3 linked regions of the Nothobranchius furzeri genome follow. The protein of the gene in region 2 binds, or shares a complex with, the protein of the main gene of each other region. Links are inferred from orthologs where the notes say so. Each region holds a gene or a part of one and is shown on either strand. Other genes may lie near its edges.

Region 1 (10,372 bases), on a different chromosome or scaffold from region 2:
CATCGACATAAATATACTCATCACAGGCAAATTCAGCTAGCTGGAGCCATTGTTTTGCATATAAATGTCTGTCAATGAATTAAGACTTCAGAAGTGCTGTCACATCAACTGAAAGCTAGTGGCATCTAGTGGTCAAGCTAACAAAATGCTTTAGAAAGTTTTACTTCGTTTCAATAAATAAAAATGTAAAACTTTTTCTTAAGTTTTAGCCAAAATGCATCCAGACAAAATAAAAAACACATTTCAGCTTTGAAACAGATTTTCACAGCAATAAATAAATAAAAATCAGCAGTCAAATCTGTGTTTAAATCTTTATTATAACAAAATATGGCCAGCCAAATATGTAACAAACAAAACTTTTTGAAAATCACATTTCTGGCCTTAAGATAAATAAAATAACTAATATCTTAAATATGTGACTATGATTAAAATAATCAATTTTACACTAAACATACCAAAAACCAAAATTATGCCTGAAATCATTATTTTAGTTTGATTATTTAATCATCTTTCTAGAATGCACATTTTTCACATTCTACACTGAAGCAGTCAAAAAAAAAAAGATTTGCCGATCTGAGGCGGAAACAGCATTCCTATAATAAATCAGACACAGTCATGATGTCAAAATAAGGATTTATAATGAAATTTGCTTGAAATTATTTAATTTTTTTTAATAAAATAAAAAAAAATCTTTTAGTCTTCAAAATTTTTTTTTCTTGTTAATTAGTGACTTTGGAGCAAATGAGCAGAGCTGATTTAATGAAATATGCTTGATGATTTGTGACTAGAAAAACATTTTTGCATTTAAACAATTTTTCTAAAAGAATGAAAATGTTTGAAATGTAAAAAAAAAAAACAATTGTGCTTTTCCCCCCCCGAAAAGCTTTAAACAAAAATAAAATTATTGGAGATTTAAATATGACTGGATAAACAAGAGGACTGAAGCTAATTTATTTACTTTTAATTTGGTTAATGTGTAGCTGACTAAGTAACATCAGACCACATGTGATAATAAGGACTGAATGTTATAACATAGATTCTAATGGAACAACACTTATATAAGTTTAGCTCATGATGTTTAATTTGAAAGGATTTTTTAAAATTCATAGCTCCTCTGAACTCGGACGTTTACATAAACGCCATTGTGCAACCCTGAACGCTGGTTATCACCCTAAAGGTTATTTACGGCACAAGACTCTCCAAAAGCACCGAGAGCTAAGCCAGTGGAGGAGTCATAATAATACTGAAAGAAAAGCAAAAGGTAGAAAAAACACGAGTAATAGTAACAAAATATTGTTTGTTTTTTTGTGAGTCTGAGAAGCATAACAATGCTTTAGTCAGCAGCCAGAAACAAAACGTTAGTTTTTTAGCTGCCTGTCTGCACAGGAACGGACGTTTTTATACAAAAAGGTAAAAAAATACTGTTTTCAAAAAAGAAAAGTACACAAAATCAACTGGAACAGCAGTTCAGTGTTTACATATCTTAACCAGATACACTCCTTGCCTTGATAAGACTTCCATGACATTCCCTAGTATAACCAGTTCAAACCGGCTTAAAATATCAAACTTCAGCTCATCTTTGCTCAATAATAGTCTCTTCTGTGGTCACATGGGTGCAGCAGTGACATCATCAGTGGGGTGGGACTATAGCTTAATGTTGCGCAGGTCCTTGGATACACTCTGCAGGTACGCCTCATGAATGGCACTGAGGAACTCTGGGTTATTCTAGACAAGAAGGAAGTAAACAACCATCATTCAGCTTAAATTCAACTCATTCTTTTTAACTCTGAGCATCAAAGATGAAACTTTGCCTCTCGGAACTGTACCTTAATGAGGTGTATCAAAGTGTCCTGTAGCTGGGTTTTACTGAAGGGTAGAGACTCTACAGCCCGTCCAGAGGCACAGGACGCTTCAGAGGAAGCAGGAGGCACCATGGGTGCTGATGTGCTCTTATTCGTGGTTTGCTGAAAGACGCTGGGGGAAAGAAGCACAGACATCTCTGACACGGGGACAGCTAAAGCTGGACTCACGGGGAAAGCCTGGGAACAGAGACAAAAGGAAATTTTGTGGATAACCAGCTGAGAAAGATATAGAGACAAAAAGCCACCAGCTAACAAACTCACAGGAACTGGGTTTATCAGGCTAGGAGGCTGAGAGAAAACCTCTTTGTTGGATTCTTGGAAGCTATGAGGTGGAACCAGAGCGCTTGGCAGGAAGCTGGGTGCAAGGACCGGTTTGTGAACACCTGAATTCACAGACGATGCAGCTGGTTTGAGCGAGCCAACTAGATCCTGCCCCAAAAAGGAGCTGGGAGTGACTGGAGAAGCTATGGGCCCAGACGGAGTAGCTAGATGCTCAGATCCAGATGGAGACATCATAAGAGAGGAGATGGAGCTCTGGGATTGGGGGTCCTGCCTCGGAACCACCGAGTGGAAAACAGGACTGTGATTCAGCACATAAGGAGCTGGGATTAGGGCGGAGCCTTTCTGCTGCTGGTGGTTGGAGACAGAGGGGATGCATGGACTTTGCTGGGGCGGATAAGGTTGTTTCTGGACAAAGGCAGTAGGAAGATCAGTGGAAGCTGTGCTGTTGTGTGAAGGCGCGGCCATTAGAGAGGGTTCCTTAGGAAGAGAAGAACCAAAGAGCTCCTCTACTGTGATCTGCTTCACCATCGTATGAAAGCCCTGCATTAAAAAAAGAGGGTTAATTATAAATTATTTTATGATCATGTTTTATTTGAGAATCACCTTCATTGCCCCCTTTTTAGAATCAGTATTTAACTAAATGATGAGTTTTGGCCATTATAAACTTTAGCAATCGATGGTTTTACAACAATCTGCTGCAGATTGTGACATCTTTAAATTCTGAAAAAGATTTTTATCTCTAAGATGCTAATTTTGAGACATTAATAAAATCTGGAATACAAAAGAAAAACGTCAAAATCACCAAGGAACAGGGCCCAAAACAGAACAAATAAAGAAATCAACAATTCCCACCATTATTACTTTAAAAATGACAAATAACTTAAATAAATATAAGTATTTATATAAAATTACAACTAATTTCTATTATTTCTAATTTCTATTATTTCTATATTTGTTCCATTACACATCATTTATAAACAGATAAAATTAGGAAGTAATTAGTAAAATAAAGATTAAACCACTTTTCGCATAATAAAAAACAACATAACTTTTCTGCGGTCAACATCAAACAAATACAAAACTTTTATTACATTCTGTCATCACCTCTAAAGGACGTAATAAAAACAACAGAACTCATAATGAATCTTTTCAAGTGTGTTGTGTTCTTTATCATCACTGATTGTTGCTTTCATGCTCACCTCTGCAGACACTTCTGTCTCCCCGGACTGGGTCTTCAGAAAAAGACAAAAAGACAAAGTGATCAGGTGTTTTAAGAAAAACTAAAACATCTTTTAAAAATCTTACTCTCTGATATTCTTCCTTTGCTTTGCTGAGCAGCTCCAGGATGTCGATGGGCCGCGGTTCTGCGACTCCATTGCTTCTGCCTGCCTCTGCTCTCTCTGGGCTCCTCCTCTTGGCGTGGTCCACTTCTTGTTTTACAATCCTGGAGCAAAGTTAAAACATACTGATGAAATACTTCTAATTATTTACAGAACTTCCCCAAAAACCATATCCACAAACACAGCATGGATGTGCTGACCTACTTACTTCACCATCAGCTGAGCGATGCGTTGGCAGTCCTTTTTGTCATAAAACCAAATACTGTAGATTCCCACTGTAAAAACAAAACAAAGAACACATTTTTAGCTGCCTAAAAAACTGAAAAATTACAATTTGTCGATTAAAGCACAGAATTAGGGTGATGACTGAATAAAGCTGTTTAGAGCTGTGTCAAGGACTCGGTTCTGCATGATTTGCATCTTTGTTTCAAGCAGCAGATAGAGAACAGAAAAAAATAACATCAAATTTGACACAAACCAAAAATGATTTAGTGATTAAATATTACATTTTTCACAGAAACATTAACTTGTTACCACATCACTTATGTGATTTTGGATTGCACCAACACACTGGTGAATATACCATCCCCCAGGGAGGCTGTGGTTACCTAGCAACTGAAGAGTTTGCCTCCCTGCAGCATCTCCAGCCACCAAAGGGAATATGAAGCCATGTAAACAAGTATGTCTCTCTCCAACAGTCTATAGCCCCGAGCTGCAAGCTCACAAGCACTCAAAGGAGACTGAAGAAACACTCATATATTTGTTAATCATCACCATCTCTCTGAAGATTTAACCGTACTTGTGTCTAACCTGTGCTCTTTATTTGATCCTGCTTTTATGCCAGCTCAGTCTTCATCGTTTCTTCTACTACTCTCGCTTTCAGGATCACAGCTGGGAAATCTAAACTCATACAGCCACACCTTTACAGCAACAGGCTACAGAACGAGTCAGCACACTGAGATCTAGTGGACTGTGTGTGTGCGAGGGACTGTCTGCTGCCAGGGAGAAACCTGAAGATTATCTTCCTGCAACTCCACCAAACAACAATATTAGCACACATGCTAAAGTAAAGTTATCCGAGAAGCTGGTTTTACTGGGATACCAACCTCATCATGTCCTCGATCCCAGCCAGGCTGATGTGCAAACCAACTCCAAAAGGGGAGCCGTCGACTCTAACTTTGACCCTGGCTATGCTGTTTTTCCTTATAAGCAAACAAATGGGAAAGCATTCTAACTCCTTGTTCGTTGCCCTGATGAAGCTTCTCTTCAGACTTCTAATAGATTACCTTGGAGGCAGCGCAGTCAGCTACTTTTTGAAGATTTGAGAAACTTTGCGGCCTTTTTGTTACACTGCTCTGTCACAAGGCTGGAGGACATCGCTGGATTAACTTAGTGGTCGGATTCACCAATCAGAGACTTAACTCTGAGACGGTTGCCCAAATGCAGAAAGATAACTGTTCACTAGCAAAGCTGAAGTTGCTGTTTGGCCATTTTGGGCCATGAGTGCTAAAGTGTTCCTGCTTGATGCTGCAAGACGTCACAATGACTTCAAGCAATATGGAAGAGAGGTGTTCCATCGAACGCTGGGGAGATATCTGTCTATTGTTTTCACAGGTAGGATCATAATAGTGTTTATGCTAGTTAATATAATTAAGGATCATAATAGTGTTTATGCTAGTTAATATAATTAAGGATCATAATAGTGTTTATGCTAGTTAATATAATTAAGGATCATAATAGTGTTTGTGCTAGTTAATATAATTAATACACACATTTGTATGTAAAAGTGAAGATATCACTAATGCTTCAAATAGGAAAATTATGAAAATGCCAAAATTGCAGAAATTTCTATTAAATAATGAGCATTTTGTGACTAACAGAATTTAACAAAGCAACAATAATAATAAGCTATTATACTAGGAGGAAATGTATTTTCATTTTGGTTCAGAAGTCATTAAACATGTTTACAGATTTATTAAACACTTTTTCTGTGCTGGAAACAAGTCCTTAATGTTAAGTCACCTTGAAACAAAACCACAAACACACCAAAATACAACAGAAAAAATAACATATTTCAAAAATACTTCTTTAGTGTTTCATTTCCTTCAAAACACTCACAGTTTCCATTTCTGTAGAGCAAGAAAGGATCCTGCAGCTGGAACTCCAGGTCTTTATTTATGGGCTCAACAAGGTTCTGTGCACTCAGTCGATTCATAATGGTGAAGCCATGGTGAGGGGAGGCAGACCTTCATAAGGACCCAGGAAAAACATTACCTCCTTAATTGCACTTCACATTGCTTTGGGTACAATATTTACTCCACATTTGATTGTTTTTAATTGACCATTTAAAGCAATACTAAAGAGTTTTCGACACTTTAAGCTATTGCCTTCAAACTGGTTTCAGTGGTTCTTCAGCCATAAAGTTGAACATCTTCACATGGGACAGCACTCAGTAGCCCTCTGCTGACCAGAAACTACATTTAACAGTTTTATGGTTTGGGTCGGCACAAGTGTGGGAGGTCTCTACCTGCTAAAAAGCAGGAGCTGTTTACTGTGCTAGTAATTAATATAAAGGATAGCAGTTAACTTTACTATTGATTTAAGTAGCTCCCAGTCCAATTCAAAGTAACCTACAACAAATTCGTGTCCTGTTTATTTTTTTAACAGAAAGATTTGCCTTTGTGTATTTACTGGTACTTTTGTTATTTTTCTTCTTCTATTCTCTAAGTGTATGTGCTTCTGTAACGAGTGAATTTACCCACAAAATTAATAAAGTCTATTATATTTCCTTATAACTAAAGTTTGTAGGTGGTCGTTTTAGTTCTTCATGCTTTAACTGATTAAAAATAAAGTTTATTACAACGTTATAACATAATATTTCAGTTTCAATCTCTAAACACTGTAATTTACGTTCGATTTACTGAATCACAGAGTCCACTTTATCTTTGTTTACAAATTTCAAGGCCTCACGTGCGCAGACGGCGGAACAACCATCGTGGCTCTCAGGTATTCTTACCTTGCATAAACAAACAGGGTTCCCTCAACTTCGGTTTTCTCCTGGAACAAATAGAGATAACGACTCAAACCTAGAAACCGCAAATCCAAACTAGCTAAATAAATTTAGCGAGGGTGATAAGCTAACTGAAAGCTAATAAGGCGTTAAATTTTACAATTAGAAAGTACCTAAGATGCATTAATTGTGTTCGCGTTAAAACAACATACTAGACAACGCTATCTTAATTAACTAAACAAATAAAGACATTTACTTAAAAAACAAAACAAACAAACAAACAACCCCCCCCCCCAAAAAAAAAACAACAACAATATTTTCTGTTTTGAATCAAAGCTCAGAAGCTAAGTGTGAAGCTAGCTTTGTTGGCTCTCCACCAAATATTTCCCGAAACTTTTCCAGGGTAAATTCTCTTACTTACCCATTCGTTTGCTTTTGAATTGAAGTTGTAAAGAGCAACCTGACCGGTAACATCGAGCAGTTTGTTAATGTATGGATCGTGTCTCTGCAAAGCAGCTAAACTCATCAGATGTCCAGCATTAATCGCCATCTTTGCTTATGATTTTCTGCCGCACGGACGAATTTTTGCAAACACCTATAACTTCCGGTATTTACGGAAATCCCACCACTGAAAAGGTTCCCCAGAGGAGTTTTTTTAATTCCGCGGGGAATAATAATAATAATAATAATAATAATAATAATAATAATAATAATAATAATAATAATAAAAACAATGTAATTGCAAATTCTGAGAGAAAATGCAGAAAAAATATGTCTGAAACCAAACCCACAACAATGTGAACATAGTTTGAAAAGGTAGTTTGCCAACTGAAGTTGAAGCTTATTTCCTACACATAATGTCATCCTTTGAGATATTAGAAAAACAAGTTTCAAACTTTTTTGGACTTTTATGCAAGCCAGTTCAAATTAAGGGAATACATGTAATGTGTATACTCTAGGCATTTAACCCTCTCAGGCTCAAAATAAGTTTTGATAAAGGAACAAACAACTAAGTCTTTCAGGGATACATCTGAGTTAAAAAAATGCTCATGAAATACGTATGTGGAGTAACCAGTTAGGTAGGTTTTAACTGTTGCAAATCTGCAGCGCCTGCCTCCAGAGGGTTAAGAAAGTTTCATGTGATTGCAGGTTTCTTAAAATATAAAAATGATAATAAACTTTTAACCCACATATTTAATTTCCACCAAAATAATATTTAGCAATGTGCAACAAACTGTGAAGCAGAAAAACACGGAAATAGATACCTATTTTAACAACTTGTTCACACCTCATTCATTGGATGATCAAAATTTGGAGTTATTTATTATTAAAATTGAGTTCAGTAGCTATTTGCAATGCAAAAGCCTGCAATTATAATGTTAATTTCATGTAGCCTAATATGTTTCCTACCTCAAGTTTCATGGAAATATGTACACATCACAATGGTTTTTTTCATTTTAACTTGTGTTTTTACGCCTAAAATTTCTATTGTTGATCATTTTATTTACCCAAGTTGTTTGGTATATATTTTGTTAATCTTGAAAGAAAATGAAAGCAAAAACAGAACAATATTTCACAACGCCTGACATGGTTTTATGAATGCAGTTTATAATTTCAGATTTATTACTCAGACCTATTTGAGAAGAACTTGCATTATTTTCCTTGTTATGAAGTCAAAGTTAGATTTTCCTTTTATTCAAATCCTAAACTGCTAATAAGTGAATGAAAGTGTCTGAAAATTCTATTTAAAAAATCATGTTTATTATTTGACCCTAGCTTTGGTGCATGCAGCTATCTCTCATGCTTAGGGAACGGGGATTATAATCTAAGGATTACGCACTACCGTGAATCTGTTTTACCCTGAATGCAGGTAATCCAATCACTATCATTCCATCAGAGCTCCAAACCACCCATTCCCTCACGAATCGCCGTAGAATGAACACACAGATCGGCGCTATGAGGCCTCGAAGAAGGAACAGGTGACAGAATGCGGTTTATTATCAGGGGCAGACACCTGAGGGGTAAGTCCAGACAGTGCGCAAAGATTTAGTACATTTTATCTGTCAGACAGGGCAAACCATACAGTTTATTACCAAGGTGATGACCAAGAAATGCATGTGTCTGCAGACATGCATGTTTTTATTTAAAAGAAGTAAGTAAATCAGATATTTTTTGTTGAAGACTGCGACCCAAGATGGCTGATCTTTGACACAAGGATAAAAAAAACGGCAAATAATAATAATTTTTAAATAAATAAATAAATAAATAAATAAATAAATTCTTTGACATTTTTGATTGGTTACAACGATTCCAGATCATAATCAGGAAAATTAAACCCTTTATAGAGAATCTTGTTTTATTTTCTACTGCTGGAACTTGTCATCAGTCCACGGTGAGACTTATTGACAGCAGACTGGTCCGCCGCTCACAGCTCGTCCTCTCGGATGCGCCGTGAATCCACACCAGGCACCCGGATGTGGGGAAAATGCTCGGCGCTCCTCTCAGGATCTGCGCTCGGGAAAGTCTTTGTAAATCAGGTTAGCGGCTCCGCTCCGTCGTCACTTACAGGTGTTTTCTTCCAACGATGAGTTGGATTTAACACGCATCTCTTCAATGTGGATTCGAGGATGCAAGAAGCAGATGAACAGACTGAAGGTAAAATCTGCGCGCGGGGAGTTGGAGAGCTGAGTGGGCGAGAGCGCTCGTTTGGTTTATTCTACAAACGCAGCACATCTGATTATTCTCCGAGTCGTTTATCCTGCTGATTTGATTTATATATCATATTAGTTCCGGTGTGTGTGACATTTATGTGTATTTGTGATAACGCTTAAGATTTAAACCCATTAGGATTTGTTGTCAGACATGGTTGACTAGGTTGTAATGTGATCAAATGGTTGTTTTAATGGTTCTGGATGTTGGTTTGGATACGTTTACCTTATAGAATAAACACAGGGTGGCTAATTCACTTTTCAAGTAATACCAGTTTTTTAAACTGTGTTTAAGGGAGTGAAAATGATCAACTTCAACACAACTGAAGAGAAGTGCAGAGAGGTTTTACAGGCTTATTTTGTGACTTTATTGCCCATCTTTGAATTGTCTGTCTAGTTTTACAAAAACACAGTTTAGAGCTTGTATATCATTAAATTAAGGTATTATTGTCATATTTCAGTTTCTCTGAACTTCTTGTCTTTCTCAACTGGTCAGATAAAATCCCTATTTTCCTTCCAATGACATAAAATATTGGTGATTTTATGGTGTGTAGACCCTGATTTCATACTAATGTGGAGTTGCAGCGTATCAAAGTGACTGTCAAGGGCACTGTCTTTTTCACTCATGGTCCGCATTGATTTAATGACTGTCCCTCAGTCATGGTGTCCTCTCCCACTCTGTCATCCTTTCCAGTGTTTTTCTATTTTAACATTTCTTGTTGGGTAGCGGAATACTTTTACATTGATGGCTTTATAATAAAGTTTGATCCTCGTTGACGGACTTAACTTTTGAAACGTGAAATTGTGGAGCTGAAACACAGATAATCCTTTAAGCCAGAGTCAGCTCTCTGAACATCAGGACTACCTTTTCTTTTGCTTCCATCTTTGTTGTAAAAAGGATTAATCTGCTCTTATTTGTGTTTTATTGACAGTTTATTTCTCATGTTGATTAACAAGAAATTAAACTATTTGTGTCAAGGTTTAATTGGGTCTAGCTTTGTTTTTACACAAAGGATCAAAGATGCTGATGCAGGTTAGAGGTTGTGGTCATGACTCAGTGGAGATATTATTGCTGCTCTGCAACCAGGTTCTCATTTGGTTTGCAGAGGTCAGTTGGCAAGTTTTAGAACGTCAACTGCTTTGTTTATTTTGCATTCAGATGACATTTGA
Region 2 (9,908 bases):
TTCCTGTTGTGTTAGATTATTGCACCTGTTGAAGAAACCAGATTATCTGGTCCTGTTAGAAAGAAGAAAAAGAAGAAAATATCATTTCTATAGCACCTCAAGATAAAAATCACGAGGCGCTTCACAAAAACAAAAAATGTAAAAATATATAAAATAATTTAGAAAATGATTAAAAATATATTTAAGATGAGCAAAAAACAGACAATTGTGATTAAAAATGTAAAGAAAGAGAGAGAGTGAATAGGAAAGAGGGAAATCAGTGGATCCTGAGGAAGGTGGAATAGGTGGGGAGAGCAGAATAAAGAGAGAGTGAAGAAGGTCATACAAAAGCCAGCTTGAACAGGTGAGTTTTCAGCTGCTTTTTAAAGGAGACCACTGAGTCCACTGATCTCAGGCTCGGGGAGAGAGGTCCAGAGTCTGGGGGCCATAGCAGCAAATGATCTGTCAGCTTTGGTCTTTAGCCTGGTGCTGCACAACCAGTAGGCTTTGATCACTGGACCTCAGGGACCTACTGGGGGTGTAGGGACTGAGAAGATCACCAATGTAAGATGGTGCTTGTCCATGTAAGGCCCTATAGACCAGAACCAGGATCTTGAAATGAACCCTGAAGTTGACTGGCAGCCAGTGAAGCTGGAGGAGAACCGGGGTGATGTGGGTGTGTTTGGAGGACTTGGTCAGAAGCCGAGCACAGGCATTCTGAACCACCTGTAGACGGTTCAGGGAGGTTCTGCTCAGACACGTGAAAAGAGAGTTACAGTAGTCTAAGCGTGAGGAGATGAAGGTGTGGAGAACTGTCAAGTTCAGAGCGGAACAGAATGGGAGTTTAGCATTGTAAAATAATTGACTGTTAGCAATCAGTCAGTCAGAATAATAGTGATCTCACAAAGTCTCATAAATATTATTCTCCCCCAAGCCTCTGTTTTATATTAAAAACTGGATCAGCCATTGTCCACCTGCACCTGTGGGCTGCAACCTGAGCCTCTTAATACCGTCCGCACACGAACATTTGTTTGAACACAAACACGGGTGAGATCCACCCTTACAGTGTCTTTGTTTGGATTATTTATCCTGTCCGTTTATGTGGCACGAATGCCGTGGATGGAATTTTTAGAGCGCCACACCAGCAAACGGCTCTTCTTAACCACATGTGGTCCATTACAGGCGGTAAAAAGGAGTGAAGGGACGTCTGGAACGTATTATGGAGTTCACGTCAAAGCTTCCAAACATGGGATTTTTCCATATGATTTAATGAAAGGATTGGGACTCAGACAAGAAAGTATATTATTGTACCCTAAGCATGTTTTGTTTAGAGGACTTTAACGGGGAAAGACTTGCACTCACTGTTAGAGCCAAGATCAGACAGTACAGGGTGCAGTTACAGATCCCATGTCTGTTCTTTGAAAGAAACACGGAGTTCTCTTATTGAATAAAAGGGCCTCGATGTTCCTGTCCTTAAGGGTGGGGTATTGTCTTAATCCTAAATCGACAAAGCTTAGCCTTAGTGACAGGAACGTCTGTTGTTCCTTTAATCAGGAGATTTCTTTTTTCTCAAACTTTGTCCAAGTTGCTGCTGCTTGTTTGAACGCTGTTGCATTTTTCAACTAGAACGTCTGTTCTGATTGGATTTTGCAGGTGGGAATGTTTAAGATTCACCCAGAAATCCCAGAGTTAATGTCACCAGAAGCCAAAGCCTTTATTCTGCGCTGCTTCGAACCCGACCCAGATCGGCGCGCCACCGCCTTCGACCTGCTCACGGACGAGTTCCTCACCGTGACCAGCCGCAGGAAGAAGAGCAAGAGCAACCTCAGTGGTGGGTTCAGTTCAGAAATTACCAGCATCTTCGAGATAAAAAGTCCTGGAAACTTGTCCTGAACGCAAAGTAATGGGCCATTCCCATCTGTACCGGGTCGGCCCGGGCCGGGTAGCGTAGGTTGTTTACATATCTGGGTGGCCTGGTATTTTTCCGGGCCAACCAAGGCTCATTCTCAGCCCTCTTCTCGAGGGGGTCTGCTTCAGGCCGACCAGGGCCAACACACCCACTGCTGACAGCAAATTCACACCTTCCATTAGAGCAAGCCTCTGATTGGTGGGTAGAATCAGACCACATGGGCTTAAGACAAGGATGTGTGGAATCAACCGGGCCAGGCTGGGGCCGACTGGGGCTACCCGGCCCGGGCCGACCCGGTACAGATGGGAATAGCCCATTAGATTCCTCACCAGCCCTGCCCACAAAATCCAACATGGCAGCCATGCAGTTAAAAAGGGGCGATAACTTCGCCACAGCAATCAACTTTATTTGCACCATCAGGCGCTTTTCCATTGTTGGAACTTCAGGGGAAATTCTGGATGGGGAAATTTACCGTGAGATACGACAGCATATTGTGACTGCTTCGGCAGGAAGTGACGTCACTGATCAGCGCCACAAAGCATCCACAGTTAACTCTTTCACTGCCAATGACTTAAGTCGTCATTTGCATTTTTATTATTTTTTTTTACTGTGTGGGTGTCGGAACGAGCCCCCGCACCGTGAGAACGAACATCCAAGCTCTAAAGCAGATCTTCATCCACGTACGTCACACGTCACGTGATCAGGAAGCAGAAAACCCATGTGTTAGGAGATCTTTTTGGGCCGCTACTGTAAAAAAAAAAGTGAGGCGCGAACCGGAAAAGCTTCTGACGATACTTTGGACGTGCCTGAAAATGTCCGTTAAGTGGAGACACGCACATGCTGGAAAGTTCCTGTAAATTTATCCTGAAGTTCCGACAGTGGAAACGCACTTGTTAGTTTGGAGCAAGGCTCTCCACTCTTTGTTCTCCAGGTCCACTATCCAGCATGTTTGAGTTGCTTCTCTACCCCAACACACCCGATTCAACCGTTGCATCAGGTGTTCAGCAGGTCATGAAGATCTGTACAAGCCTGATAATCTGCTGATTAAAATCAAGTGTGTTGGAGCAGGGAAACAACTAAAACATGCTGGATAGGGGGGATCTTGTGGACTAGGCTAAAACGTCTTAGCGCAAAGCTAACATTTAGCTTGGAGTTAAAAGTTTGCAGAAATGGTATTTAAAGAAAAAACACAATCTGCATTCTGCACCTGAAAACCACCACGTATCACTTAAATAACAGCAAACTAGCTTGATGGATCGTTTTATAAGTGGGGAGGCAAGTTCAAATACTAATTTCCCTCCCGTTTGAGCCACAGCTCTCAGCTTATCAGTTTCATTGTGCTTTTAAGTTTAATCTTTAAAGCTCTGAAACTAGTTTTTTACTTAAAGCACTAAAACATCATTAATGCATAATAATGAAATTACTAGAAGTTTTGCAGCTTTAATTCCAAAAAATAATAATTAGTAATGGTTCACTTGTGAACTCCTCGTCAGTCTGGACTAATTATTTTATCACACAGCTTTTAAAAGACTGAAGCCACATCCTTCCTGTTTTTCGTAACATGTGAGCATGCTCCTCATGGGGTTTGCACCCCGCAGCGCTGATGCAATCATGTGCTCCGGCACCAGTGCACTGCAAGCTGCTTGCTCGGAAACGTTATCCTGCCAATCGTACATGTAAATCCTGTTGTTTTTCTCTCAAAAAACTGCTGACTCTTGGTTTTTTTTCTCCTTGCAGCTCCTTCCTCGGGTGCAGGTGAGTAACTCAGCCCTCTGAACATGTTTTTCAGACATTTCTACCACTACTTGATGGACTTTGTAAATTAAACTTCAATTTTACAAACTCCTCTACACTTCACAGACCTCTTTTTTGTCAAAGAACTCAAAATAGATGTGTTTATATTCTGTTTTTATAAGTCAAGGACAATTCTTCTTATTTGTTGCCCAATAAAATAATAAAGCTCTTCACCTTAAACACAAACTCAGAGTAGTTTGCTTTAGTGAGAAACATTGTCTACCTCAGGTTAGAATTATTGTGCGTGTGCGTGTGTGTGTGTGTGTGTGTGTGTGTGTGTGTGTGTGTGTGTGTGTGTGTGTGTGTGTGTGTGTGTGCGTGTGCGTGTGCGTGTGCGTGTATGTGTGGTGGAAACCCTTCTGCTCAGAGTACCTCCGTAGCATCTCCCTGCCGGTGCCGGTGGTGGTGGAGGACACCAGCAGCAGCAGCGAGTATGGCTCCGTCTCCCCTGACAACGACCTCAACACCAACCCATTCATCTTCAAGCCCAGCGTCAAGTGCTACAGCGAGAGGGATGTCAAGGGGCCCAGGTCCCTCTTTCTCAGGTAGAACACTTGAAATGGACAGAGTCGTGGCTGCTGCTTGCTGCAGACGAGTTTCACGCATAGCCTCACGACTGTGAAACACTAAACCAGTTGTCAGTATAAAGGCCAAAGCAGGTTTATTTCAGATTAAGGTCTGAGAAGTCTTTAACAGTGGATTTTCTAATGTAAAAATGATACAAAACAGCAGAAAATTTTGTTTTTGAACAGATTTACGAATTACGAGCCATCTAACTAAATGTCCATAGGTGTCCTTAAGACTTTTGCATATAATAAAAGAACGCACTAAACCAAACCGCCGACTATTTATCTCAGCATTCCAGTGGAGAACTTTGAGGATCACAGCGCTCCTCCGTCTCCCGACGAGAAAGACACAGGCTTCTTTATGCTCCGCAAGGACAGCGAGAGGCGAGCCACGCTGCACCAAATCCTGACCGAGGACCAAGACAAGGTTGTGGCCAACCTGATGGAGGCCCTCACACAGGTTGGGAATGGAAGAAACTAACAGGAGGGCCAGGGAGACGCAGTGTTAAAATCTTCTGTGGTTCTCTGACCTTCAGGGCTCTGAGGAAATTAAAGTAAAACCGCAGCACATCTCCATCCTCGTAGTGAGTCTGGCTGACTTCATCCGCATGGCCGACAGGAAGATCATTGCCAACACCTTGTCTCAACTCAAACTGGACCTGGACTTTGACAGCACCGCCATCAGCCAGCTGCAGGTCATACTGTTCAGCTTCCAGGATGCTGTAAGTTCATCACTACAACAGGGAGGTTCGATAAATCCTCCTCTAATTTTCCCTTCTGGGAATAATCAGTCCATTGAAATCCTTGAAATGACTTTAAATAGCACCAGATTAAAACCCAAACATCACTCCTCCTCCATGCCTGAGTCATGTGACTTCCTGTCTGTTACATCCCTGTAGAGCTCTGGGTGTTTTGTTGTAAATGTTTTACGTCAGGCAGCAGAAGCCTGTCTGTTTCCTTTTCCTCCTGCGCCGAGATAATAAAGTAAAAATGATTCATAAGCTTTAAGAAAAGAGGTCTTCAGACAGGAGGAACTGCACATTCTGCAAACAGGCTCATCAGAAATGCTAAACGAATAACATAAGAGAAAATGGTTGTTAGTGTATTGCATAATCTGAGGTGGGAAAATGGAGTTCTGACGCCCCCTGCTGGTCATCGATGCACCCAGAGGATTTTTTATGTGTAGTGCACGACTACTTAGACTTGTAAATATGAAAAGTTTGTTTTCCTTTATGTTTATAGGTGAATAAAGTGCTACGAAACCACAACATCAAGCCTCATTGGATGTTTGCTCTGGACAACATCATCCGTAAAGCAGTGCAGACCGCCATCACCATCCTGGTGCCAGGTAGTATCATCCATGTTTAGAGCAGAGCACCTCTAAATGAATTATCCCTCCCTCCAGCCCTGGGCCAAACTGGCAGGATAAATCCAGGGATATGAAGAGGGAAGAATATAGAGCTAAAATGCATTATAGATGCATACTTTTTGCATGCTGGCTGTGGTTTTTAGAAGTATTCCTTGGCCGACGCCACGACTCTCACCTGAGTGTTAAATTGTTCATTAAAGTGTTTCTCTTGGTCACGTTATCTTTGATTTAAAAAGTTGTATTTTGCACATTTGGAAGTATTTGCAAGTTTTTATCCTTGCTTTGAGTAAAGTTATAATTAATTACAGATTAGCCGTGGTAGATGGCTTCCTGAATTGCCTCTGTTTGGAGAAACAGATTAGCATCCGTTAGTAGAGATAGTCTTCTTAGTGTAATTATTTATCATCCTAAAGTAAGAAAATCTCTATATTTTTTAAAATAGTGATATAATTTCTAACAAAAACAAGATGACCAAGTAACATTTATAACAATATACAACCGATGAAATGCTAGAGTTAGCAGGCATCGCTACCACTAGCTTGCATGGTCATCCATTGTTGCCCATCCAGTTGATGTTTGCAGACAAAACTTAGAGAAAGTTGTTGTCAACATTAAATGTGTGGTTTACTCGTTTATTCAATACATTTGCAGTTTTCTCTAATGTAAATCAATGCCTTATGAGTCATGAGATGCAGATGTTTGCTGGTGAGGAGGTGGACTGAAAACAGCAGAATTGCTCATTATTATTAATGATATGCACACACCTTGCTTTTAATTGGCTAACAGAACGTGTTCAGCCATGTTGCACAGGCACTATCACCAACACACTCTGCTCTCTCTCTTTGCTGCAAAAAAAATTTTTTAAGCCTTCCAGTGGGCAGACGTGAGTCAAGATGGGAGAGGCCATGAATGCAAATTCACAGTGTGACATCACAGTGTGAGGATTTTCAAATCCTAGCATTTCACCATCTATTTTCTATCAGAAGCTAACAGAGGAGATTAGTGTGGGAGATTGTTTTCATGTTCAGCCTGCATGAAAAACTCAGTGACCGATTATAATTAGAAATAGTTTAAAAAAAAATTCAGTCAACCACACCTTTAATCAAAACCTTTGGGTTAATATTATGTCCTAACCTTTACACTCGGCCTCACAGTTATTGATTTTCTGGGGACATCCGTTCATGTTTCTGCAAGGTTTTCCACCGTGATTGTCCATGTTGTCGTTCCTGAGTATGGTGTCGAGTCGGGCCAAATCCCCACTCTTAATCAGCAAATGGGTACAGCAGCTAAAATACCTAAGAAACGTACCTTTCCCTGCTCGCTGTCATGAGTGAATATTGTGAGATTCGTGCCTTGTTTGCCTTTCCAACTTTAATAAAGCCACGCTGTATGGCCCACATGAACAGAATCCACTGCATAGTGGATACATTTACATCATGGTATCATCATGATAGGTTTTTTCTAAGCAAGACATAATTACTAGTGGTATTGTGAATGACCTGATACACCCATCCCTAGGTTGAATTTAAATTGTTGTACATGAATTATAAATATATATTAAAAATAGTGCCTTTGTTACCTTTTTGCCAGCTTTTGATACAGCTCTAACAACTTGATAGATAGATAGATGGATAGATGGATAGATAGACTCCATGTCCAGATTAAATTACAAAAACCATAAACAAGCTACATAAAAACACACTTTAAAAAAATGTCGTTTCTTATGGTTCCAACAAAGATGATAAAAAGCTACTTGTGCCTTAGACAGCTTGCCAGTGTTTCCAAAGCTCAGACTGATGGTGAGCGGCACTAAGGTTAACGTTTAACAACTGAATCAATATATGTTTGATGCATTTAATCTGCTGATGAAATTCTGTAGACAATGAATCACATCTTGAAGGGGTTTAACTTGTAAACAATTTACAGGAAGAAAAATATTGAGACAAATATCATAAATCAGAATTTTGCTCAAAGATACTGGATTGTAAGTTCTGGTCCATATGGCTCAGCACTACTTTTAAGTAAAACTTTAGTTTCTCACACTTCCTACTGGTTGGAAACAGTATTGCAATTGTTGCAACCAGCAGCCTGCTATAGCTAGCGCTAAAAATGAGCTAACGCTAACACAAGACTACTGATACTAAAAAGGCCATGAAGTAAAAAGATCAACACTTTTGGACAAAAAATGATTACTCACAAGTCCATTAGCAACAAAGCCAGGTCACCATCAGGCCGTGATGTTGTAGCTTCCTTTAGCTCCCTCAAGCTAGTGTAGGCCACGCTGATGTTCACTCTGGTTTTTGCTCTTTGCGCCACTTCCAAAGACATTAGTCTTTTACTTTTAAGTCCAGGTGTAGCACATTTCAAATTATCATCGTAGGTAAGGAGGAAGACTCAGGAGACACCAGTCTGGATACTGGAGACATTGGTGCCAACCAGAACTCTGGGCAAACCTTTAAAACAGTGGCAGAAGGCACAATTTAGTAATACAGCTCTATTTAAGTGCTAAAAAATGTAGGAAAAAGTACATTAGCACTATTCAATGCATTTTTACTGACAAAAATTGTTCTGATTCATATTCCTCGGTCATTTACATATTTTCACAGCTTACCAAGTTATTTTTGTGTTTTTAGCATTTCATTTTAAGTATCAGAGCTTAAACAGGTGCTAATTTAAATCAAAAGAAAAAAAAGAGGACCTCAGTTTACCAGCATACAGGCTGCTTATCTCAGCTAGCAGGCTGTGCACATGGCGAAAGTGTCTGTGTAACACTAATTATGCCCCCTGTGCAACAGTTACCAGAGAGGAACTATAATATATCAGCACCACTAAATGTATGTATGAAAAAAATTTAACGTTACACAATGACCCAAAACCATAGATGACATAAAAAAATCATTACTGAAAGTTTTGTGAAGGTTCATTTCACCAACCAGAAATATAATCGTGCAACACAGGCTCCGCCATGATGCCAACAAAGAAGGAAACAACTTCTTCTTGTGCTTTTTTATTGGCTGTCTGCAAACTGAAACAGCTAACTGCTGCTAGCTATTATATGAGCTATCAGCAGAGTGAAGAGCTGTTGCTGTAAAGCAGGTAGAGACTTTTTCCACCGGTGCCAACCAAAGCCATGAAAGTTGTTAAAGTAACAGTGAGTAACCTGTTCTAACTCAACAATCAGTCAGACCAATGTTAAAACTATCAGGTGTTACTTCAAAGGCAGTTTCTGGTCTAACGTTAAGTTACTCAAGTCTCTGGCTTAAGAACCACTGGAACCAGTTATAAAGCAATAGCTCAAAGTGTTAAAAGCTGGCACGTTCATTCATTCAGTTTAACTGTATTATCACTCATTGAGTTCATCTTGTATTTACTTTCTGACTCTTTTTTTTTAAGCGTGACTATGTGTGTGTTTTCAGAGCTGAGGCCTCACTTTAGTCTGGCCTCAGAAAGTGACCCGGCCGATCAGGATGACATTGGCGATGACGTTGAGCCTTGCAGGAATTCCAACCACCAGAGTCGTGCGCCCAACATCACCGCTCACGACGACACGGTGGCCACCTCGGGAGTCAGCACACTCAGCTCCACCGTCTCCCACGAATCATCCCACAATGCACAGCGCTCTGTGAGCATGGAGCTGGGCAGGATGAAGCTGGAGACCACCAGGTAGACACTGTTTTATGCCCACTGCTTCATGATTCACCATGCTTTTTTTGTTCATGTTTGGTCATCTGTGGAATAATTTCAGGCTGCTAGAGGAGCTGCTGCAAAAGGAGAGAGAGTACCAGGCCATCCTGCAACAGGTGCTGGAGGAAAGAGAGCAAGAGATCCGACTGCTGAGGATGAGATCTGAACCTGCAGGTCTGTTCTTTCATGATTTATTTGTTTTTAGACACTCCCTAGTGGCCACTTTTGGAACTGCTAGTTTATTTATATTTTTTTTTTTGTGCCTTAAATGGTTTCCTTAAAGATCAAACTAGATGCATACGTTTTTTATTATTTATTTTTTTTATTTTTGTGCATATATTTGCTGGTGGAAAATTCTGATTATTTGAGTCTTCATTTCTATTAAAGATACCCCTGCTACATCAGAGGACCTGCAGCATCCAAGCGGCCAGTCCGCAGAAAGACACGAAGACCCAGAGCTGACCAGCTGGCTGAGGCTCTGTGGTGCTGACCAGAACTCTATAGACATGGTGAGTTTCCCTCGTTCCCAGATTGGAACATCGAAGCGGTTACTGCCGTTTGATGACTGGTTCCATAATAGCGTTTTCTTTTTGTGTCTCTAGATACT
Region 3 (10,662 bases), on a different chromosome or scaffold from region 2:
GGTGAAAACACACAGACTATGAATTCATCTTTCCTCTCAGGGCAGCCAGATTAAACCAAAGCTGACATAATAAGCCAAAAATAAACAAGTAGCTATCAAAACAACAACAGCTTACAGCTTTCAGATAAAAAGTGCATCAGAGTTGACTAAAGCAGCATCCAAGTTGTTTCCACGTATATTCTTTCCAAACATATTCTGATCCCCTCTTCCCTTGCTCTATCCCTGATATAAATTTGATTTCTGACAAATACAAGATGAAAAGCAGAATGTAATTTATGTTGCAGATGCTCAACCCTTCCATGCAGTAACATCACTCATCCACTGCAGCAGAGGAGCTTTGATTTAGGACGAGTAGCTGCCAGCTGTCCTGCAGTACCGAGTCCTGTAGCTCTAGAGATACATGGACAGGTCCTTTTCATCTTGTCTGCTGCCAGGATACATTTAAAAAGTGACACATGGCAGGATTACAAACCTCGCACATGCTTACAAACAGAAGTCCTCACAGAAGGGAGCCTATCAGAAGCCAACTGGACTAAATCCAAATCTGAGGTCTAATTCTTGCTCAGATCACAGAAGATAAAGACAGGCTGTGATGAACAATTAGACTCATGGCCCTTAAATTCAGATCAAATAAAGAGTCCAGCTGTGGGGAAATAAAACTGACAGGGACTAAAGCATATTTGCATTTATGAGCAGTAAAACAGGAACCTGATATATGTTCAAAATGGAGAAAGCAGGAGAGGCGCTGGTGTTTTCCATATGTAAAGTTGTTATTGCCGATCATGCTTGAAGTTGTACAATACCACTGAAACAGTGACAGGTGGGCTTCATGAACACCACGTGTGGCTCCCCTCACACAGTGAAGTCCAGCAATACCATGTTTTCATATGCTGACAACATTCAGAACATTTAATCTATGAAACACACATCTTGAGTAAAGACGTGAAGCAAAATACATGAAGATGACAATAAAACAATGTTTTATGATGGATTGCATCATTTAACTTGCTACTAATCCATTTATAAAGATCAGCAGAGCAGCTGCAAGTTGTAGCCTGTGAAACACTTGGATATCGATTGGTAGTCAACACTGAATACAAACCCACGCCATCAGAGTTTACACTGGAATGGATTCCAGTTTTAATAAATTGGGCACTGATGAATGTAACATTTTTCCAAGGTAAGGCTCAGGTAACATCATGCAGCCCTGAAACATTGATTTAACTGTTTTTACCAATTTCATGACTAATTATACATTTCAAGGCAAATACTGAAAAAAGATTAAAAGGTCTCATCTGTTTATTTTCTCAATACATGTGCTGTGGTCTCTCTAGTATGAATGAATGCCTTTTGGGTGGTTTTCTGTGGAAGAAAGGCTCTGGCACCTCCATTTCAGGGGTAAAAAGTTTGTCCGAGCATAGGGGGTGGACGGCAGGATTTGGAGTATTCTCATTAATATTCATGTTATGCAAACAAACAAACAAACGTTTTCTGAGCATTTCCCCGTCTATTTGCTTTAAGTGTCTAATACAGGAGATTTCCATGTTCAGCCTGCACGTGAAACTCAGTGACTGATCATATTTCAAAAAGAATACGTTTCTCACCTTTAAACGCTTGATGATTTCTCAGCACGTCTACAATAATTCAGGACAAGGCAGCAACAGTTTGTTTATGTTTATTTATTTGGCAGACGCTTTTATCCAAAGCGACTTACAATTTATAACCTATAGGGCATGTTGTGACCTGTGAGGGAAACCGGAGTACCCCGAGGAAACCCACGCATGCATGGGGAGAACACGCAACTCCACGCAGAAAGGCCGCAGCTGAGCCGAGTTTCGAACCTGCAACCTTCGTGCTGCGAGGCAACAGTGCTAACCACTGCACCACCATGCAGCCAGTATTATACATACAAACAATCATGGGACACTGTTTGAGGAACAGTGAAAAAACTGCTCAAGAACACCTGCAACACAGCGAGACACAAACACACACTGCTCTGCCAGCTGTCGATCCACATTTTTAAAGAGCTCAATGAGAAAAGATCTTCAGCAGGGCTCGGACACAATGCACCAAACACCATTCAAGGCATTCTCCATTAAAACTGGTATATTTGGTCAACCATTTCAATTAAAGACATTTATTAATGGTGCATACTTTTGGTACAGTTATGACACTTAAAGAAGATATACACTGACCAATTTTTTCAAATCACCATCTATCTAAGAACAGGTGAGAGCTTAGCATCTGAGAAGTTCTGAGGTGTCATTTTCATCTGTCAACACAATATGAAACCTTTAGTGATGCAGACAGCAGCTTCTCGTTTACTGAAACAACAATACTTGTTTAAAACTGAAGTTCAGAAACCATGACATCATTGTCACACGTGGACGAGCCAGCTTTTAGTGATAGCGTATGAAAACAATTCAGTGGCTAATGTGCACTAAAGCCAAAGCTAATGTTTTAGGTGTGGGCGACCAAATGGTTTTAAACAGAGCAGAGAGAAAATGCAAAGCTGTTACCTTGTGTGGCAAAGTTGACTGCCAGCAGAGTACTCAGGACTTTGCCAAAGTTCTCCCCAGTGTATAACCACTCTGGTTCAAAACCCTGGGGGGAAGAAAACATCAGAGAAGATGCAGTCAGACCAGAAAAACCTAAACGTATCCCGATCATCTGAGCTGGAAGAGGCTGAACCTAGAGTCAAATTTAGACCTTTTCAAACAGAGGAACACATCTGAGTTCTGGTTCTTTATTGCACACACAATGGTGGAGAAAGAGAAAATTTACTTTGTAACAAAAACTGAAAAAACTAAAAATATACGTATATACAAGCTCATACATACATTATACATTATATACATATATACACATTACATATATACACAAATATACATATACATACACATATGTATATATGTGTATGTATATGTATATATATATGTATATATATATATATATATATATATATATATATATATATATACATATACATACATACATACGTACGTACGTACGAACGTGCGTGCGTGTGTGTGTGTAAAACAGATTACAGGTCAAGGCTACTAATCAGTATTAATATGCTAATTATGAAAGTAGCAGTAAAGTATGCTATACAATTCTAAATGTCAGTGAAGGTGTACGATCATAAATGTGAGCACAGAGTGAATAAACAGGCCCTGATCAGTAATCGGTGCTTCTTCCTCTTTGTTTATCTAAGAGCAGAAGTGAAAGCAGTATATCTGCTTTTGTGTGTGTGTGTGTGTGTGTGTGTGTGTGTGTGTGTGTGTGTGTGTGTGTGTAGTCACAGTGAGCTGCCACTAATGCCATAGCAAAAAAAGATAGAAATACTTTAACCATAATCACTGAGGTAAGGGCCAGCTCCAGTAGTCACACAGACATCCTCTGGCTGACACATTCAACAGCGTCTCAGAAAACATCTGCCACTGACCTACTGACTGGTGGCAGAAGGTCTAATTATGGGCTAAAGCGGAGCTGGCGGGTAAAAGCTAACAGGACCTCCCAGACATAACAACCCAGCTGGACAGAACTACTCAACCACTAAAGCAAGCCAAGCCTGCTGACTCAATTAACTGTTTAAAGAAACCAAGTGATGTGTTTCAAAACCAAAACAGGTTATTTATAACACTGGAAACGTCATTAATGTCCACTGTGGAAGCTGCTGGTAAAATAACCAAGAAACTCCTAACATCTGCAAATGATTCAACTCTTTCTCCTATAGGACATACTTTTGCAACCCAGGACAGTTAAGAGATAGCCTGGCCTGCCAGTCTCGTCCTCTGTTTAATTCTACACAGAAGGAGGCATGCTGGCCAGGCTAGTTAGAGATGTCTCTGAGAGCTTTCAGCCTGCGCCCAAACATTTATTCATTTGCATTTTAATGTAAAAGAGAAGTTTGTGAGGAAGTAAACTTCGTGTTTGTGTTTCTTATACAGCGTGATGCAATCAATTATCTTTCTCTTTTAGTTTAGAGTGAGTTCCCTACCATGATCCATATAAACATGACACCATATGTCAGCGTGCTTAGCAGATCACAACACATTCAAGATGGTTAACAAATATTTCTGAAAACTGCAATAGCCAGGGATGAATAAAGAAGATAAAAAAAACTTATGTTATTATCATAATTACACACCTTTAATAAAATAAACGAGTCAACTCACCTCAACTTTCAAGGACGAGCATCCTCTTAAAAACTCCTTAATGTTGGAAATGCAGTCGCTTTCAGTTCTGGGATCCTGACAATACTGAACACACGGAATAAGTACGTTATAAACACAGACTGTCCATCGGTTCAGTGTGCCAAACAGTCATCAGACACACACATTAAACCGCTTCAAGCATCACTTTAGTTCCATTTGTGATTATAATAACGATGCAGTGGCATTCCAACAATGGTGAGCTCGTGATCTGAAACAGTGCTTGGTTCTTCGTGCGTCTCCTTCATGCAGACATAACCATAAACCCCAGTGAAACGCCAAGAGCCATATTTAAGCAAAACATCCGCTCCCAGCACTGCCCTTCAAAATAAAAGTCCGCCTTGTGCTACTGACGAGCACGAGGTGATTGAGACATTAGAAGAAGAAATACTTATTTGGTTTTAGAATTAACCGGAATTTTTTTATTGAGTCTAACATGAAACTACAAAAGTAAAGATACGAAACTAGCTAAAAAGAGTGAGTCGAGTAAAGCAGAAGCAGCAACTTCCGGTTGTCTTCTGCTCTGGGGAGGTCGTACACACTGGGAAGAGCAGCCGCTCAAGAGGAAGTGACGACCTGAATTTGCAACTGTTATCACTATCAACTTTCTTATCGCCAGACTTAACATTAAAATACACATGCATCACAGTACAATTCCAAATTCCGTGACTTTAATTAAACCCTCTGTCCATTCTACCCCTAACAGGGGGCGTTTAGTGCAGCCTTGATAGACCTATTCACTCAGATCAAGAACGCGTAACATTTTATCTCTTCACAGGAAGCCACTTACTGAAAACCCCTCGTCAGTAAACTCACTAGATGCTCCCGTTATCCAACGCAACACTCACTACGCGAAAGAACTAAGTTTGCTGTTGAAACTCTAAGCTCGCAAACAGAAAGCTGAGCCTGTGAAGTGCAAGAAGTTCCTGTCGGTATCGCTTTCATCAAACCCCTCCCTTATTTCCAAATCTCTGCTGATCATTCTCCATTTACTTGATAAATCAGCAGCTCACCTTGGGAGTGAAGCTAGGTATGAGCCGCTCCGTGAGCTTGCACAGGACGACCCCATCCTTGAGTGATGTCTTCAGAAACTCCTCCGGGTCCGCTATGTTCTTCTTGGGCGAGCTGAGCACTCCCAGCGATATCAACCACGTTACCGTCTGCTCTTCGGGATTCATAGCTCCGCAGAACGACCATTGCTTAAGCCCGCATAGCTACAAGAAAACTGGCGGCCTGTTCCGTAGGTATCAATATGCAGCTCACATCCGCACTTCTGCAAGTTAAAAAAAAGGCTGTGTGGGGGGAGAGGCGACGCAGTTCAGGACGCAGAACTGATGATCACCCCTACTGGTATACAGGAACCTCAACAACACGTTTCCTGCAAGTTGACTTTATCACAGGAAGTAAGGCTCAGAAAACTAATATGTTTGGTGTTCATCACATCATGCAAGAGGGGAAACCTAATCCAGAATAAAAATGTGTATTTGGTAATAACGCAGTCAAATTAGCGAGCATGTAAAATAAAAGCAAAATAGGTATGTTCAGTGTTTATGAGTTTTATGAATATTTACATTTGCAGGATGGGGACAACTTTGCTAAACCCGACCATAAAAACAATCTAGGCCTACCTCTTATTGGTCCGTTAAAATAATTTTTACAAAACCAGTTTAAAACATTCATACATTTTGAAGGCAGACATAAACTGTATTTTAACAATATTTTAAAAAACATAATAACTTGACACCACTGCTCTTTGAAAAATATTTATTAAAAAATAATAAGATTTTTTTTTAAAGAACTCCTGAATTCTTCCCACTTTAAGTTGCTCCAGTTCTGATTCATCCAGCACCTGCACAGAGCTGGATCAGCACCTGAAAAATATTGAAGAAAAAAATGTACATTTGTTCTTTTTTATGCTTTAGACAACTCAAAAACTTCAAAAAGAACCAAATATTAAGTGCCAACAAAGATATTTATAGGTGTGGGAAACTGGTTTAATATATTTGCAGTGGCCTCTGGTAGAAATGAATGCCTTGCAAGCAGCCCTCAGGGCAAAAAAGCCCTGAATAGCTTGGATCAGCATGAACAAGTCTGCTGTTGTAGAGTGGAAACCGTGTCAGTTCCAATACCATCATGAAAAAAATAAACTGCACGTAGGAGACAAGGATTAAGAAAAATAAAGATAAATAAATGTAACTTATGTAAATGTATATAACAGATGAGTGGTTGAATTTACAGTTCTTTTAAATGGTTTACAATGTGTCCAAATTTTGAGATGTTCCATAAAGTCTTCACGATGTCGTGATGACTTTATTTTTATGTCATCACGCTGAGAAGTCCACTTGGGTGTCTAAAAAGAACAACTTATGCTGTTTGGGAATATTTCAGGTACAAAGCAAACTTAAAAGAAGAGCCTCTAAACACTGAAGAGATCATTTGAGCTAAATAAAAGACAACCTCTAAAGACGTAGGTCCCGTCAGCACAGGAGCGATCCGGAGCTAAAATAGCAACCTTCTGTTTGGAATATGTTATTAAAAGAGACACTTTTCTGGTGGAAAATAAGCTGCCAGTTTTTCCCAGATGTCGCAACTAGCCCTTAAGTACCCGTATGTCTGTGCCACAAGCTCATCGAAGGGAGTTTTCAGCTGTCGTTCTACAACATCCTATGTTGAAGCCAGAAAAGGTAAACAATCTGGTTATTTAAGCAAATAATCTTTCTATATGCTGCAATAATATTATGTGCGTTATGTTATTTTTTAGTAATGGTGTTGGTTATACAATTTCTGAACGGCAAAAGTCCAAATGAACAGTTTGGTAATTCCACTTGAGGCTAACATCATTTTTGAATCAGTCCCAGTAAAAGTGGTCAAATGTGGAGGAAGTTGGATGTATTAAAATGTGGATACCGCCTAAGCTTACTGACTGGTGCTAGCGTTGTATATTGCATGTGGAGACAGGTTTAAAGACACATGGTAAATGGCCTGTATTTGACATTGGGCCTTCTAGAGTCCTGGAACCCCCCAAGGCGATTTACAACACAGTCATTCATTCACCCATACATACACACATTCACACACCAGTGGGGATGACCTACGATGTAGCCACAGCTGCCCTGGGGTGCGCTGACAGAGGCGAGGCTGCTGAGCACCGGCGCCACCGGTCCCTCTGACCACCACCAGCAGGCAACGTGGGTTGTGTCTTGCCCAAAGACACAACAAAAGCGACAGATTGAGCGGGGCTCGAACCTGCAACCTTCCAATTACGGGGCGAGCACTTAACTCCTGTGCCACTGTCACCCATACCATAGATTGAGCCCAACGACTGAGCTCAGTTTATGGGTCGTGGGAAGGCCATATATTTACGATGACTTGCCAAGCTAATTTAAAGGTGCAATAGGAGACAGGGCTGTACAGTGCAACATATATGTCTCACGTGCAATGAAAAAAACTCTGTGCGACAAACTATTTTTAGACATGGCACTGGTGTGACATCTTTTCAAGTTACTTTTTCCCCTTTATTGAACAAGGTAAGTTGCTTTAGATTGTGTAGGAAAGGTGCCTTTTACTGGCGCACAATGTGCTAATCTAGGTGCTGTGGAGGAAAACAGAGAAACCAGCATGTAAGACACAAAGGCAGAAACAGTCCAAAGTTTGGGCAGATTAGCTAATGCTAGTGGGTATCAGGTTCACAATGAAGCGGGGTTCTAAAAAAACACGATGGTTGTGAAACTAAGGCTACGTTCACACTGCAGGCCTTGTACTCAATTCCGATTTTTGGAGTGAATCTAAATTTTTTTGTGGCCGTTCACACTATGACTGAAATGAGACATCAAACTCTCTCCAGTGTGAACGCTCCGCGGCCACAAAGCGACACGCATGCGCAGAAGACAAGAAGTCACACTCAGTGGAGCCGAAACCAGGAGCACCGGAGTTGTGATGTAATACTGATCCTTAGGGCTGTAGCGAAGCGTCGACGGCTCGATTCTAAAAATTCATCGACGTCAGATCCGGTAGTCGACGCGCCACGCCCACTTGTTGCATCCCCAGGAGTTTGTAAATAGAGATGGAATCTGCCTGTTTTTCTTCTAGTTCGCCTTCTTCTCCGCCTTCACTAACATCTCCGCCAAATACCGAAGACCCGGAACAACGTCCGTCCGCTACTAGATTCCTTTCCTGTTTTGCCCGTCTTCGTCTCCCGGCAAGGACAACAACTTCCGGGGTCAGATGCGCTGCTTCGTCTCTACCGCAGATGTAGAACATCACCGGGAGCGTTTCTCCCTTCATAAAGGAGCTTCTTTCAGACATTAGGAGAGCTGGTTTGGTGGTAGCAGTCTCTCCTCCGTGCTGGTCTGTTTGCTGCTGGGTGTTTTTGGTTTATTTAAACTTGGTAACTTGAACTTAACGTTGGTAAAGCTACTGTTAGCATTTTTGCTAACAGCTTCTTGCGTTTGGATAAGCGGTTACGTTTTGGTTTAGAGTTAATCTTTTTTGTGGTGCAGATCTCCCTTTTATTACATTTAGTGTTGTGGGTTTTCGGGTTTAGGTTAAAATATCACCTTGAGTTTGGTTTAACCACCCAGTTTAGAGTTTGGACCTTTGGAGATCCTTATTTTGGTCCAGAACCCAGTAATCTTTGCCCAGTGGGACATCGCTACTTATTTGTACATTTGTTTTAATTCCAGACAGGCAGAATTAGTTTTGTTATTCCCAACCTGTAGATGGAAAGATTTATGTTTTTTTGTAGTTGTAAATAAACCTGATCATCATTTTAACTTTTAAATCCCGTGTTATTGTCCCTTCCTTTTTGCACATGAGCCAAACTCCCCAGGAAGGGTCGTAACACCACTCGCCTCACGCACATAAGTGACCAAAACAAAGCAGTATGGAGACTTGTCTCCAACCACCTCTCAGGCAACAGCCTGCACTCTTTAAGTTCTACATGTCACCAGAACATAACCAACCAACAAAATAAAAGCAGTGTTATACAAAATGGAAGGCCTGTAGTGTTTATTCTCTTACAGTAAAAATTTATCAATTTTTTTGAGGAATTTATTTGAGATTTTTTTGTTTTTATTAACTGTGCAATAAAAAAAATCACTAGATTAATTGTCTAGTCATTAGACTAGTCGGCTACTCAATAATCGTCAGAATAATCGTTTTAAAAATAATCGTTTACCCCCGGCCCTACTGATCCTGTGAATAAACTGAAAACTTTCACACCTTTTATTTCTTCTGCTTTGGGCTGGAAACTGTTTTAAAAACTGTAAACTATTTTCCTCCTTGTTCCCGCCATCTACCTGAATTATTATTCATCGAAAATATTCCGGTATTAATTCATTCACGGAGATTCCCCCTCTCACGGAGACCTGCTAGGCTAGCTTGTTGTCAACTTTAGAGACCGTCTTAAACTCTCAGCTGCTTTTTTGCTTAACATGTTAGCTCCAGTTTTATAAATTAAACTGTTTTCCTGTACGGGAGTCAGAGAATTTCACTCCGTGTGTTAGAGAGGAGATAGTCCTGCAGCGTCTGCACTCATTAATAGATGAGTGTTGTTTAAACGTTTCTCTAATATTTATTATATTTATTATGGACTGTAATATGATGAGTCCTCCTCTGCTCTTTCCGCTAGACTGAAGATGGATGCTCTACACAAACACCAACAACAGTTTCTCCTGTTTAGTTTCTGTTTGATGGCTGAACCAAAGTCAGATCCAGCATGGCAGCAAGTCATGGAGCCAAACCAAGGAAAGGAGGGTGTGAAATTAGCAGGAGGCTGGTGAGCTGGGAGCTGGTGTACCCATCTCCAGGCTAACACAGAAGCTGCTGCTGAGTCAAGAGCACTTAAGGGTTAGTTAATACTGAAGGGTATTTCACATGAAGATGTTTAAAAAGACTGAACAAACTTTAGCAATCTGATGACCATCTCTTCCGTCGATCATAATGGGCAATGTGAGATCACTGGCCAACAGGAGGAACTCCAAGCCCTTTCAAGGACTCAGCCAGAGTTTCGGCAGTTTCAGAACTGCTGGAGGAGATAATGCAAAGAAGGATTCTCCAGAGAATCAAGAAAATGATGGACAACCCTGAGCATTCTCTTCACAAGACTGTCGTAACAACGGAAGAGTGTCTTCAGTCAGAGGCTTCTTCAGTTTCGCTGCAACACTGACCGCTACTGGAGATCCTTCCTGCCAACAGCCACTGTAATATACAATAACTCTTTTATGACTTGATTATTATTATTCTGAGCTACTACAGCAATCAATTTCCCTCTGGGATTAATAAAGTATTTTTAAATTGAATTGAATAAGGTGCCAAACATTGAGATATCGGCCATCAACTGACCACGACCGCCTCATATCGGTATCGGCTGTTGAAAAACGAATATCGGTCAACCTCTAGTTATGTCTGTCATTTTATAAAGTTAAGTCTGACATTTTCCACCCAATTC

The links.
Region 1: map3k5 (region 2) and dcp1a share a complex: the UniProt entries of both Homo sapiens proteins name them as parts of the cytoplasmic complex. The link is inferred for Nothobranchius furzeri from reciprocal best matches to the Homo sapiens genes MAP3K5 and DCP1A.
Region 3: map3k5 (region 2) and arhgef6 share a complex: the UniProt entries of both Homo sapiens proteins name them as parts of the cytoplasmic complex. The link is inferred for Nothobranchius furzeri from reciprocal best matches to the Homo sapiens genes MAP3K5 and ARHGEF6.

What each region holds. Positions count from the first base shown.
Region 1 is NC_091755.1:32,991,675-33,002,046, forward strand, and holds dcp1a (mRNA-decapping enzyme 1A), read right to left. Parts: upstream 7,084-10,372; 5' UTR 7,045-7,083; coding exon 6,916-7,044; intron 6,542-6,915; coding exon 6,501-6,541; intron 5,731-6,500; coding exon 5,603-5,730; intron 3,760-5,602; coding exon 3,693-3,759; intron 3,589-3,692; coding exon 3,450-3,588; intron 3,377-3,449; coding exon 3,344-3,376; intron 2,685-3,343; coding exon 2,124-2,684; intron 2,040-2,123; coding exon 1,827-2,039; intron 1,726-1,826; coding exon 1,645-1,725; 3' UTR 300-1,644; downstream 1-299. Other genes in the region: cacna1db (voltage-dependent L-type calcium channel subunit alpha-1D), read left to right, coding at 9,122-9,149. UniProt on the Homo sapiens protein: Necessary for the degradation of mRNAs, both in normal mRNA turnover and in nonsense-mediated mRNA decay. Removes the 7-methyl guanine cap structure from mRNA molecules, yielding a 5'-phosphorylated mRNA fragment and 7m-GDP.
Region 2 is NC_091742.1:11,441,522-11,451,429, reverse strand, and holds part of map3k5 (mitogen-activated protein kinase kinase kinase 5), read left to right. Parts: intron 1-1,632; coding exon 1,633-1,810; intron 1,811-3,625; coding exon 3,626-3,643; intron 3,644-4,049; coding exon 4,050-4,227; intron 4,228-4,539; coding exon 4,540-4,708; intron 4,709-4,784; coding exon 4,785-4,970; intron 4,971-5,490; coding exon 5,491-5,596; intron 5,597-9,033; coding exon 9,034-9,280; intron 9,281-9,362; coding exon 9,363-9,475; intron 9,476-9,688; coding exon 9,689-9,810; intron 9,811-9,903; coding exon 9,904-9,908. UniProt on the Homo sapiens protein: Serine/threonine kinase which acts as an essential component of the MAP kinase signal transduction pathway. Plays an important role in the cascades of cellular responses evoked by changes in the environment.
Region 3 is NC_091741.1:83,152,652-83,163,313, forward strand, and holds the start of arhgef6 (rho guanine nucleotide exchange factor 6), read right to left. Parts: upstream 5,535-10,662; 5' UTR 5,393-5,534; coding exon 5,228-5,392; intron 4,263-5,227; coding exon 4,179-4,262; intron 2,605-4,178; coding exon 2,520-2,604; intron 1-2,519. UniProt on the Homo sapiens protein: Acts as a RAC1 guanine nucleotide exchange factor (GEF).